Linked DNA regions of Rattus norvegicus. The protein of the gene in region 1 binds, or shares a complex with, the protein of each later gene. Links are inferred from orthologs where the notes say so. Each region holds a gene or a part of one and is shown in the gene's direction. Other genes may lie near its edges. The genes, in order: Itgb7 and Itgae.

Region 1 (3,809 bases):
CCAGTTGATTCCCAAGTCTGCTGTCGGGGAGCTCAGCGAAGACTCCAGCAATGTGGTGCAGCTCATCATGGATGCTTACGACGTGAGTGGAGAGTAGGGGGTGGGGGCAGGGCAGGGGAGAGGGAGAAGGGTCCTCCGGGCATAGCTAAGAGGGTATGAGAGAACTTTGGGTTCTGCACTTTCGCAGCTCCTACCTATAGTTTGCACATGGCTGACCTTAGCTGTTCGTTTTTTGTTTTTTGTTTTTTTTGCATATGGAAGATTGAACCTAAGGTTTTGTTGTGTTAGGCTATCACTCTGCCGCCGAACTACATTCCTTGCTGAGCCACAAGTCTATCACTTTTTATTAGTGTAAAAAATATGTAAGGAGCGCTGGAGAGAAGGCTCAGCGGTTAAGAGCACTGACTGCCCTTCCAGAGGTCCTGAGTTCAATTCCCAGTGACCACATGGTGGCTCACAACCCTCTGTGATGGGATCTGATGCCCTCTTCTGGTGTGTCTGAAGACAGCTACAGTATACCTAAAATAAAATCTTTTTTTAAAAAAAGGATAAAAACACACATGCAGACAAAACATCCATATACATAAAATAACTTAAACATTTAAAAATGTAATATTTATACATACATATAATGTGTTTGGACCAAATCTACCACCCTGTTCTCTCCTCTACAGTTCACCACTAGACATCTACCATTTCCCCCTCTTGACTTCACATGATCTTTTTCTTTTTTGAGTATCCATGACTCCATTTAGTATTACATGTATATAGACGAGTGTATATGTATGTACACGCATGTGCAAACATGTAGGTTTTTTGTTGTTGTTGTGTTGTTTGGTTGGGTTTTTTTGAGACAGGGTTTTTCCATGTAGCCCAGGCTGTCCCGGAACTCACTGTGTAGCCCAGGCTGGCCTTGAACTCAGCGATCTGCCAGCCTCTGCCTCCTGAGCACTGGGCTCAAAGGTGTGTGTGCCCTTACCACTCGGCTGAAAAAATTCTTGTAATTTGTAATCTATTATTTTGTGTTTGTGTGATTGTGTGCGTATGTGCACGTGAGGTAGGCGTACATGAGTACCACAGTGCATATATAAGTCCAGAGTCAAGTTTGTGGAGTCAGTGCTCCCTTTGGACCGTTATGTTAAGGGTTCTGGGGATCTAACTAATTCGGGCTCTGGGCTGACCTGGCAAGTGTGTTTACTTGCTGAGGTGCCTCGCTGGTCAGAGCCTCGCTGGTCAGAGCCTCGCTTTTTATTTGGAGGCGTCGTGTATGTAGCATTGATCTGATTGATCTACCCATACTCTTGCTTGGACCTCAGATTACCATCCTGTGTCACCGGGTCCTGCACCCCACCTGCTTCATAACTATTATCACCCCCATTTTACTGAGGAAATAGAGACAGGAAGCTAAGCATAAAGAATGGGGGACTTGGGGTTGGGGATTTAGCTCAGCGGTAGAGCACTTGCCTAGCAAGCGCAAGGCCCTGGGTTCGGTCCCCAGCTCCGAAAAAAAGAAAAAAAAAAAAAGAATGGGGGACTCAGCGCTCACATTACATTTGTAACAAATCAGGGACAGAATTTTATAGAGCTTGAATGCCTCTTGAGCAGGAGGCTCATTTCTGCTCTAGACTGCAGATCTCTTTTTACTTTTCATTTATTTTATTTAAAGACTTATTTATTCATTATGTATAAGTACACTGTTGCTGTCTTCAGACACACCAGAAGAGGGCATCAGATCTCTCTACAGATGGTTGTGAGCCACCATGTGGTTGCTGGGATTTGAACTCAGGACCTCTAGGAGAGCAGTCAGTGCTCTTAACCACTGAGTCATCTCTCTAGCCCCCTTTTTTTATCTTTTTAATTACAGGGTCTCTCTATGTAGCCCTGGCTGTCCTGGAACTCGTTGTGTAAACCAGGCTGGCCTTGAACTCACAGGGTCCCCTCTCCCCCATTCGGGGAGTCAAGGTGCCTAGCACCTTGCCTGGCTGTACTACATTTAATATCAAGGTCCATATTATTATTATTATTATTATTATTATTATTATTATTATTATTATTTTCGGAGCTGGGGACCGAACCCAGGGCCTTGCGCTTCCTAGGCAAGCACTCTACCACTGAGCTAAATCCCCAACCCCCAAGGACCATATTATTATCTGGATGAGGTGTCACATGCCTGTCACTTCACACCTGGGAGGCAGAGACAGAAGGAATTTCCAAGGCCTTCTTGGGCTACTGGAGACCCTGACATAATAAGCAAGAACAATGTGTCCTTGACCTCAGTGAAACGAGTGGAGATACAGAACTAAGTGGTTGCTTGCCCGGCATACCCAAAGCCAATCTCTTGACCGTGGCAGGAAGTCTTGAGACAGTGCTAGCCTTTGCAGAGTAACCACACCGAAACCGTGTCTGCCCGGTGGATCTTACCCACCATGGCTGTGTGTTCTGGTTTGGGTTTGATTGACAAACACACTGACCGCATGGGCTGTCACACCATGGCCCGGGTAGGTCTAGCCCTTAGGTGTTCCAAGATGGTTCTTCTTTCAGAAATGACTTCTAACTGTGCAGAAGGGACCAGGTGTGACTATGAGGGCACGAAGCGGGGTGCGTCGGGGGAGGGGCTTGCTTTCACACGATGACATCCTCGCTCTCTTTCCACAGAACCTGTCATCCACCGTGACTCTTGAACACTCTTCGCTCCCACCTGGAGTCAGCATCTCTTTCGAGTCTCACTGTAGGAGTCCTGAGAAGAGTGAGGGTGAGGCTGGGGACCGTCGGGGACAGTGCAATCATGTCCGAGTCAACCAGATGGTAAGAGCCAGCCAGCTGCAATAGATATGATTTCCCACTTACCTCCACGGAGGAGAAGTGGGCGTGGAAGTGGGAAACAAGCAGAAGAACCCATGGGATCGCCATTGAGGAGGGGTGCACTTTCACTTGTTCTTAGTTTGCTAAGGGCCAGGATTCTGTGTGGTTGGTGGACTCTGTGTGTGTGTGTGTCTGTGTGTGTGTGTGTGTGTACATGTGGGTGTGTATAGCTTTGTCTGGTCCTCCTGTCTTCAGTGTGTGAGGATGTGTGTGTGTGTGTGTGTACCAGAGGTGGTGTGTGTACAGGAGTGTGTATGTACATGAGGGCGTGTGTGTGCACAGCTTTGTCTGGTCTTCCTGTCTTCAGGTGGATTTCTGGGTCACTCTTCAAGCCTCTCACTGCCTCCCAGAAGCCCATGTCCTACGGCTCTGGGCCCTTGGCTTCTCAGAGGAGTTAACTGTGGAGCTGCACACACTGTGTGACTGCAATTGTAGTGATGCCCAGCCTCGCGCTCCTTACTGCAGCGATGGACAGGGGGACCTTCAATGCGGGATATGCAGGTGAGGGTTTTATAGACTCCTTTAGCTCCCAGCAAGTGGCTATCACCTTTATTTCTCCTTTGCTTTCTGTTCACCTGGAGTCACCTAGATATCCCAGGACTCTACCTGAATGTCATACCCTGAAGCTTCCCATAGATGCTAAGGCTTTCACTTTCACTTTGACCTGAGTCCCCTGCCCCCTTGACCCTTGGTACACTTCTATATCAGTTTGTTTCAGCTGCTCTGTATCCTCCCCCCCCTTTTTTTTTTCTTTTTTTCGGAGCGGGGGACCGAACCCAGGGCCTTGCGGTTGCTAGGCAAGCGCTCTACCACTGAGCTAAATCCCCAACCCCGTATCCTCCCCTTTTTAAAAAAAGATTATTTAAAAAAAAAAAGATTATTTATTTATTTTACACTGTCACTGTCTTCAGACACACCAGAAGAGGGCATCAGATCCCATTACAGAT
Region 2 (4,276 bases), on another chromosome or scaffold:
AAAAGTTATATAAGATCTAGTCAAATGTCAGACCAAAGCTAACAGTGTGAAAATGTTTAAGTGTCATTGAATCTTCACAGAACTTTGACTAAATAAATTTTCCATGTGAAAAACAAAATAAAATTGATTTTCATGTAGTCATTAAGGCCATGTGGTTATCTGCTTTTGCTAACACTGTAACACTTCAGAATATTCTCTTTTTTTTTTTTTTTTTTTTTTTTGGTTCTTTTTTTCGGAGCTGGGGACCGAACCCAGGGCCTTGTGCTTCCTAGGTAAGCGCTCTACCACTGAGCTAAATCCCCAGCCCCAGAATATTCTCTTACATCCATGGAAGAATAAGAGGTTAATGCCCAGCCTTTCTGAATTAAGATTGCATACAGTCTAGAGTTCAGTTCCCTCTGTGCACTGGCATCATTTTAACGTGTCAGTCACTCACGGCTGATAGCTCCAGTTGGACAGTAGAGTCCAGAACAGTCCATCTTCGCAGAGGTCTTACTACATGACCCAGGCTGGCCTTGAACTTGGTCTTCCCACCATACACTCCTAAATGCTGGGATTGTGCTAGGCTGAGCTGCCCAGAACTCTGCTGGGCTGTGCAGGATGGCCTCCTTCCCTCGCTGCTGCGTAGGCATGTTTGGTGGTTGAGGGAGTTGGATTTAGATATGGCTGCCCCTGTAGTAGTCCCCACAACCTGGGCAGGGTCAGAGCCGTGCTGTAAGGGCCATGAAGTCTACCTCTTCTGTTAGGCTGGAAGCTCAGAGCCCTGCGAAGCTGTTATCAGCCTCACATTTTGAAGACACTTGAACCACAGCTGGATTGAAGCAATGACTTTAATACCTCAGTTCTTCATGCTCACCTGCTCTTCCAGGGCCCTACCTATGCACTGAGTACAGGAGCAAATGTAAGAGTGCATTTTTTGCCTGTCAGAGCACTTTCTATTCGAGGGGACCCAAGATGGCTGGGAGCTGATCCCATGAGTCTGGCTGGGGAACATTCTGGATGAGACAGCCTGGAATTCAACTACCTGGACGACTTGCTCCTGTACCTCCTCTGTATGCCAAAGACACCCAGGACACCCACCAGCCAAATCTTAGCTCACTCGTGCATGAAATGGGGGGTCTAGTGAGTGACGGAACTGGCCTGACAGTTGTCTAAGCTCCCGGAGCCCAGCCCACAGCTATGGGGAAAGCCACCTGCTGGCCTTGTATGAGCTCTGGTAGCTGTGTCTGCTTGAGAGTACCTGTAGGTCTGTGGTCCCTTATCTGAATATGCTTCTGCCCCGCCTCCTGGCCTCCCCTGCAGAGGAAGGGAAGCTGAGGGCCTTCTGAGGTTCTCTGTGTCGCCCCACTCAGCTCACACGGTTGCGTCTGCTCCAGCTATGAAGTGGTTCTTCCATGCCCTTCTCTGCGTGGCCAGTAAGTCAGCCTTTCCTGTCTTCAGTGCTATCATCTCTGTCTGCCTGGGCTCCAGATTAGTGGTCAGAGAAATGCTGGGCTTCCCTTGGGAAGTGCCTTTGCTCAGACAGATCTGGAGGTTTACAGGGAAGACCTCTTCGGTGCTGATGGCCCCTGGCTTCAGTTCTATGCAAAGTTAGTTCCCAGAGTGCGGAAGCTAGTGATGTGCTGTGCCACCCAGAGGGCCCTTTGTTAGTTAACAGAGCAGCTTCAGCTGCTGAAGTCAGGAAGACTGGAGAGAATGTGGAGACTAGCAGGAGATGTGTGTGTGTGTGTGTGTGTGTGTGTGTGTGTGTGTGTGTGTAAATCTACAGACTGAATATCGAGGGGAACCTGCTTCTTCTGTGATGTGGAGGAGGGACAGGTATTGATTGTCCCCTGCTGTCAGAGGATCCCACTCTGTCTTTAACCTTGAGTGGGAACTGCCTTTGGACAAACTGTCCTGAGACCACCATAAGATCCCAGAGACAAGATAGCGTAATCAGCTGAGCCCCCAGGGATCGCTCAGACAGGGCTGTAGTCTGGTCTTGTCTGGCTCTCTCTCTCTCTCTCTCTCTCTCTCTTTCTCTCTCTCTCTCCTCATACTTGGCAAGAGAATAAGGTGGCATCAGACACAGTAATTTGGGGGCCGGAAGCTGTATCTCTGGAAGGCAGTTCATGCCAGTCAGTGAAGGTTTGAAGGAGCAGAGCCACGTCCCAGGAGGAGGATGCAGGATGAGCCAGCCATGAGCCAGAGCATTCGGGAGGCAAGCTAAGCCCTGCTCAGATCACCGACACATGGGTGGGGAAAGTTTTGATGTTTTAAAAAGACCCAGTGGAGCCAGAGAGACGGCTCAGCAGGTTAGGCACTTCCTGCCAAGCCTGAGGACCTGGACTCCATTCCAGAGACCCACATGGTAAAAGAGAGCCTTCTGCCTGCTGCCATCCTCCTCGGCACACACGTGTGTGTGCACGGACACACAAGCTTTGTTTTTTAAGCACTTGATGGTCACCATGGAAGATAAAGTTGGTCGGATGTTTTGCTATGTTGCATTCTAGACTTGTTTTTATTTCTGTTACCTGCAGAGTGGGAAGTGGGGCTTCACCTTTTTTCTTTTTAATCAGAGCTCTAGTGCCCCATCATCAAAGCTGAAGATGCTGAATCTAGAGTAGTCCACTCCAGGATAGACTGAAGGGTGGGATCAAGGAGCAGTAGGGGCAGAACCGTGTCTAGATAGGCCTCTGTCCTTCCTCACAGCTCCAGGATGCTCCATGGCCTGGATAGATGACCCTAGCAGTGGCACTTTGGGCTCCTGCCCATCTTTGTTTCCCGCAACCTCAGCAATGGCATCACCTTGGGCACCTCCCCCACTACCTGCCATTCATCAAACCCCTAAATCTCTGGCACACAAGTTGACAAGAACAGGATGGAGCCAAGCAGTGGTGACGTCGTGCGTCTTTAGCCCCAGCACTCGGAAGGCAGAGGCAGGCGGGTCTCTGAATTCCAAGACAACTTGATCTGTAGAGTGAGTTCCAAGATAGCCAGGGCTACCCAGAGATACAAAGAAATCCTTTCTTGAAAAAACAAACAAACAAACAAACAAACAAACAAAAGCGAGACAGGCAGGTTTGCACTGAGGCCCTGCTGCGGGGTTAGCTATGCTGTGGGATGCAGTGGGAGCTTGGCCTTGGTATGTGATGGGCAAAATGAGATAGCACCGCTCTACACTGTGATGCCTGGGGTTGATGCTACACCAGGCCTCAAGACTGAGGCTGAGTCCTGAGGGCTTTGGGAATTGGAAGCAGGCAAGATGCTACGAAGGAGAATGAGGATGAATACACTCTGAGCACGGGCCCAGGCTCTTTACTCCTGTGCCTTGCTGGCTTCTCTGGGTTGGGGCCAATCCACAACTGTTCCTGACCAGATGGCTCTGCCCTTCTGCCCTTCCAAGCCACCCATTGTGGTAATGATCTTTTCCTGTCACTCATGGGGGCAAATGGACTAAAGGTTGTCTAAGGAAGGTTTGCAGAAAATGCAGATGCATACACATTGAAGTCTAGAGCAGCCTAGGCCCCGGCCCCCAGCCCCTATCCCCAGTATACCCCAATGCCATATGCTCTGCCCCTGAGTTCATTCTGCACTGACTCATTCTGAGGCCACAGTAACTCACTTCCTCCTGTGTCTCAGAGGTAGAGTTTACTTCTCTTGTGAGAAGGGAACTTTGCTATGGATCTGTGAAACCTCATGACTGAAAGAGGAAAGAACCAGAGTCCAGGACCTGCTGTGCTCAGGACACCAACCCCAGCTCCCCAGTGGGAACCACTGGGGAAGTTAGGAGGTGGCTGGCCCGGCTCTGCCTAGGTCTAACCTACAGCTATGTGTAGATTTGAGAGAAAAGCTTGGTCCTCAGAAACAGGGATCCAGGTACCTGAGATAAGCCTAGGAGAATGGTGGTGTCTCAGCAAATAGGCAGACTAGGAAGAGGGGCTTTCAGAAGCAGCAAGGCCTGGGTCTGTGAAGACGATGGGGAAGCAAAGACATCGGAGCAGAAAGCTGCTTACTCTGATGGTGTCCTCCCCGCCCTAGATTAGGAGATGCTGGGCCCCAGCATGATGAGAAAGCAGGCTGTACACACATTCACCTTCCTAGCCCAGGGGAGGTTCATGGAAAGAGCTATAGGACCCAGTGGAACCACACTCAGGTAGAAAGGACACAAGATGTGAGGTGGAGCCTCACATCTCTGACCTCTGGAAAACTGGCTCGTGTGTATGAAGTATGTGTGGTACACATAGGGAGTGTATGGGAGGTGAGCGGTGCGTATGCCGTTCATAGGTACTACTAT

Evidence for each region.
Region 2: the proteins of Itgb7 (region 1) and Itgae are in contact, whole or in part, in a cryo-EM structure (PDB 8ZJF), measured with the Homo sapiens proteins. The link is inferred for Rattus norvegicus from reciprocal best matches to the Homo sapiens genes ITGB7 and ITGAE. Residues at the interface, in NP_000880.1 of Homo sapiens: Val201, Leu202, Pro203, Ser206, Thr207, Val208, Pro209, Ser210, Lys211, Arg213, His214, Cys216, Pro217, Arg219, Leu220, Glu221, Arg222, Leu255, Asp256, Ser257, Pro258, Thr291, Phe292, His293, Thr294, Ala295, Gly296, Asp297, Lys299, Leu300; in NP_002199.3 of Homo sapiens: Phe36, Leu38, Arg91, His92, Arg93, Gly94, Leu111, Arg113, Leu118, Ser119, Ser120, Leu122, Glu196, Glu198, Arg230, Tyr233, Glu234, Phe237, Glu238, Cys239, Asn240, Ser259, Gln260, Val262, Met263, Leu266, Arg300, Leu401, Gln403, Phe406.

What each region holds. Positions count from the first base shown.
Region 1 is NC_086025.1:135,229,062-135,232,870, reverse strand, and holds part of Itgb7 (integrin beta-7 precursor), read left to right. Parts: coding exon 1-82; intron 83-2,655; coding exon 2,656-2,805; intron 2,806-3,169; coding exon 3,170-3,363; intron 3,364-3,809. UniProt on the Homo sapiens protein: Integrin ITGA4/ITGB7 (alpha-4/beta-7) (Peyer patches-specific homing receptor LPAM-1) is an adhesion molecule that mediates lymphocyte migration and homing to gut-associated lymphoid tissue (GALT).
Region 2 is NC_086028.1:58,202,038-58,206,313, forward strand, and holds the start of Itgae (integrin alpha-E precursor), read left to right. Parts: upstream 1-1,330; 5' UTR 1,331-1,378; coding exon 1,379-1,415; intron 1,416-4,276. UniProt on the Homo sapiens protein: Integrin alpha-E/beta-7 is a receptor for E-cadherin. It mediates adhesion of intra-epithelial T-lymphocytes to epithelial cell monolayers.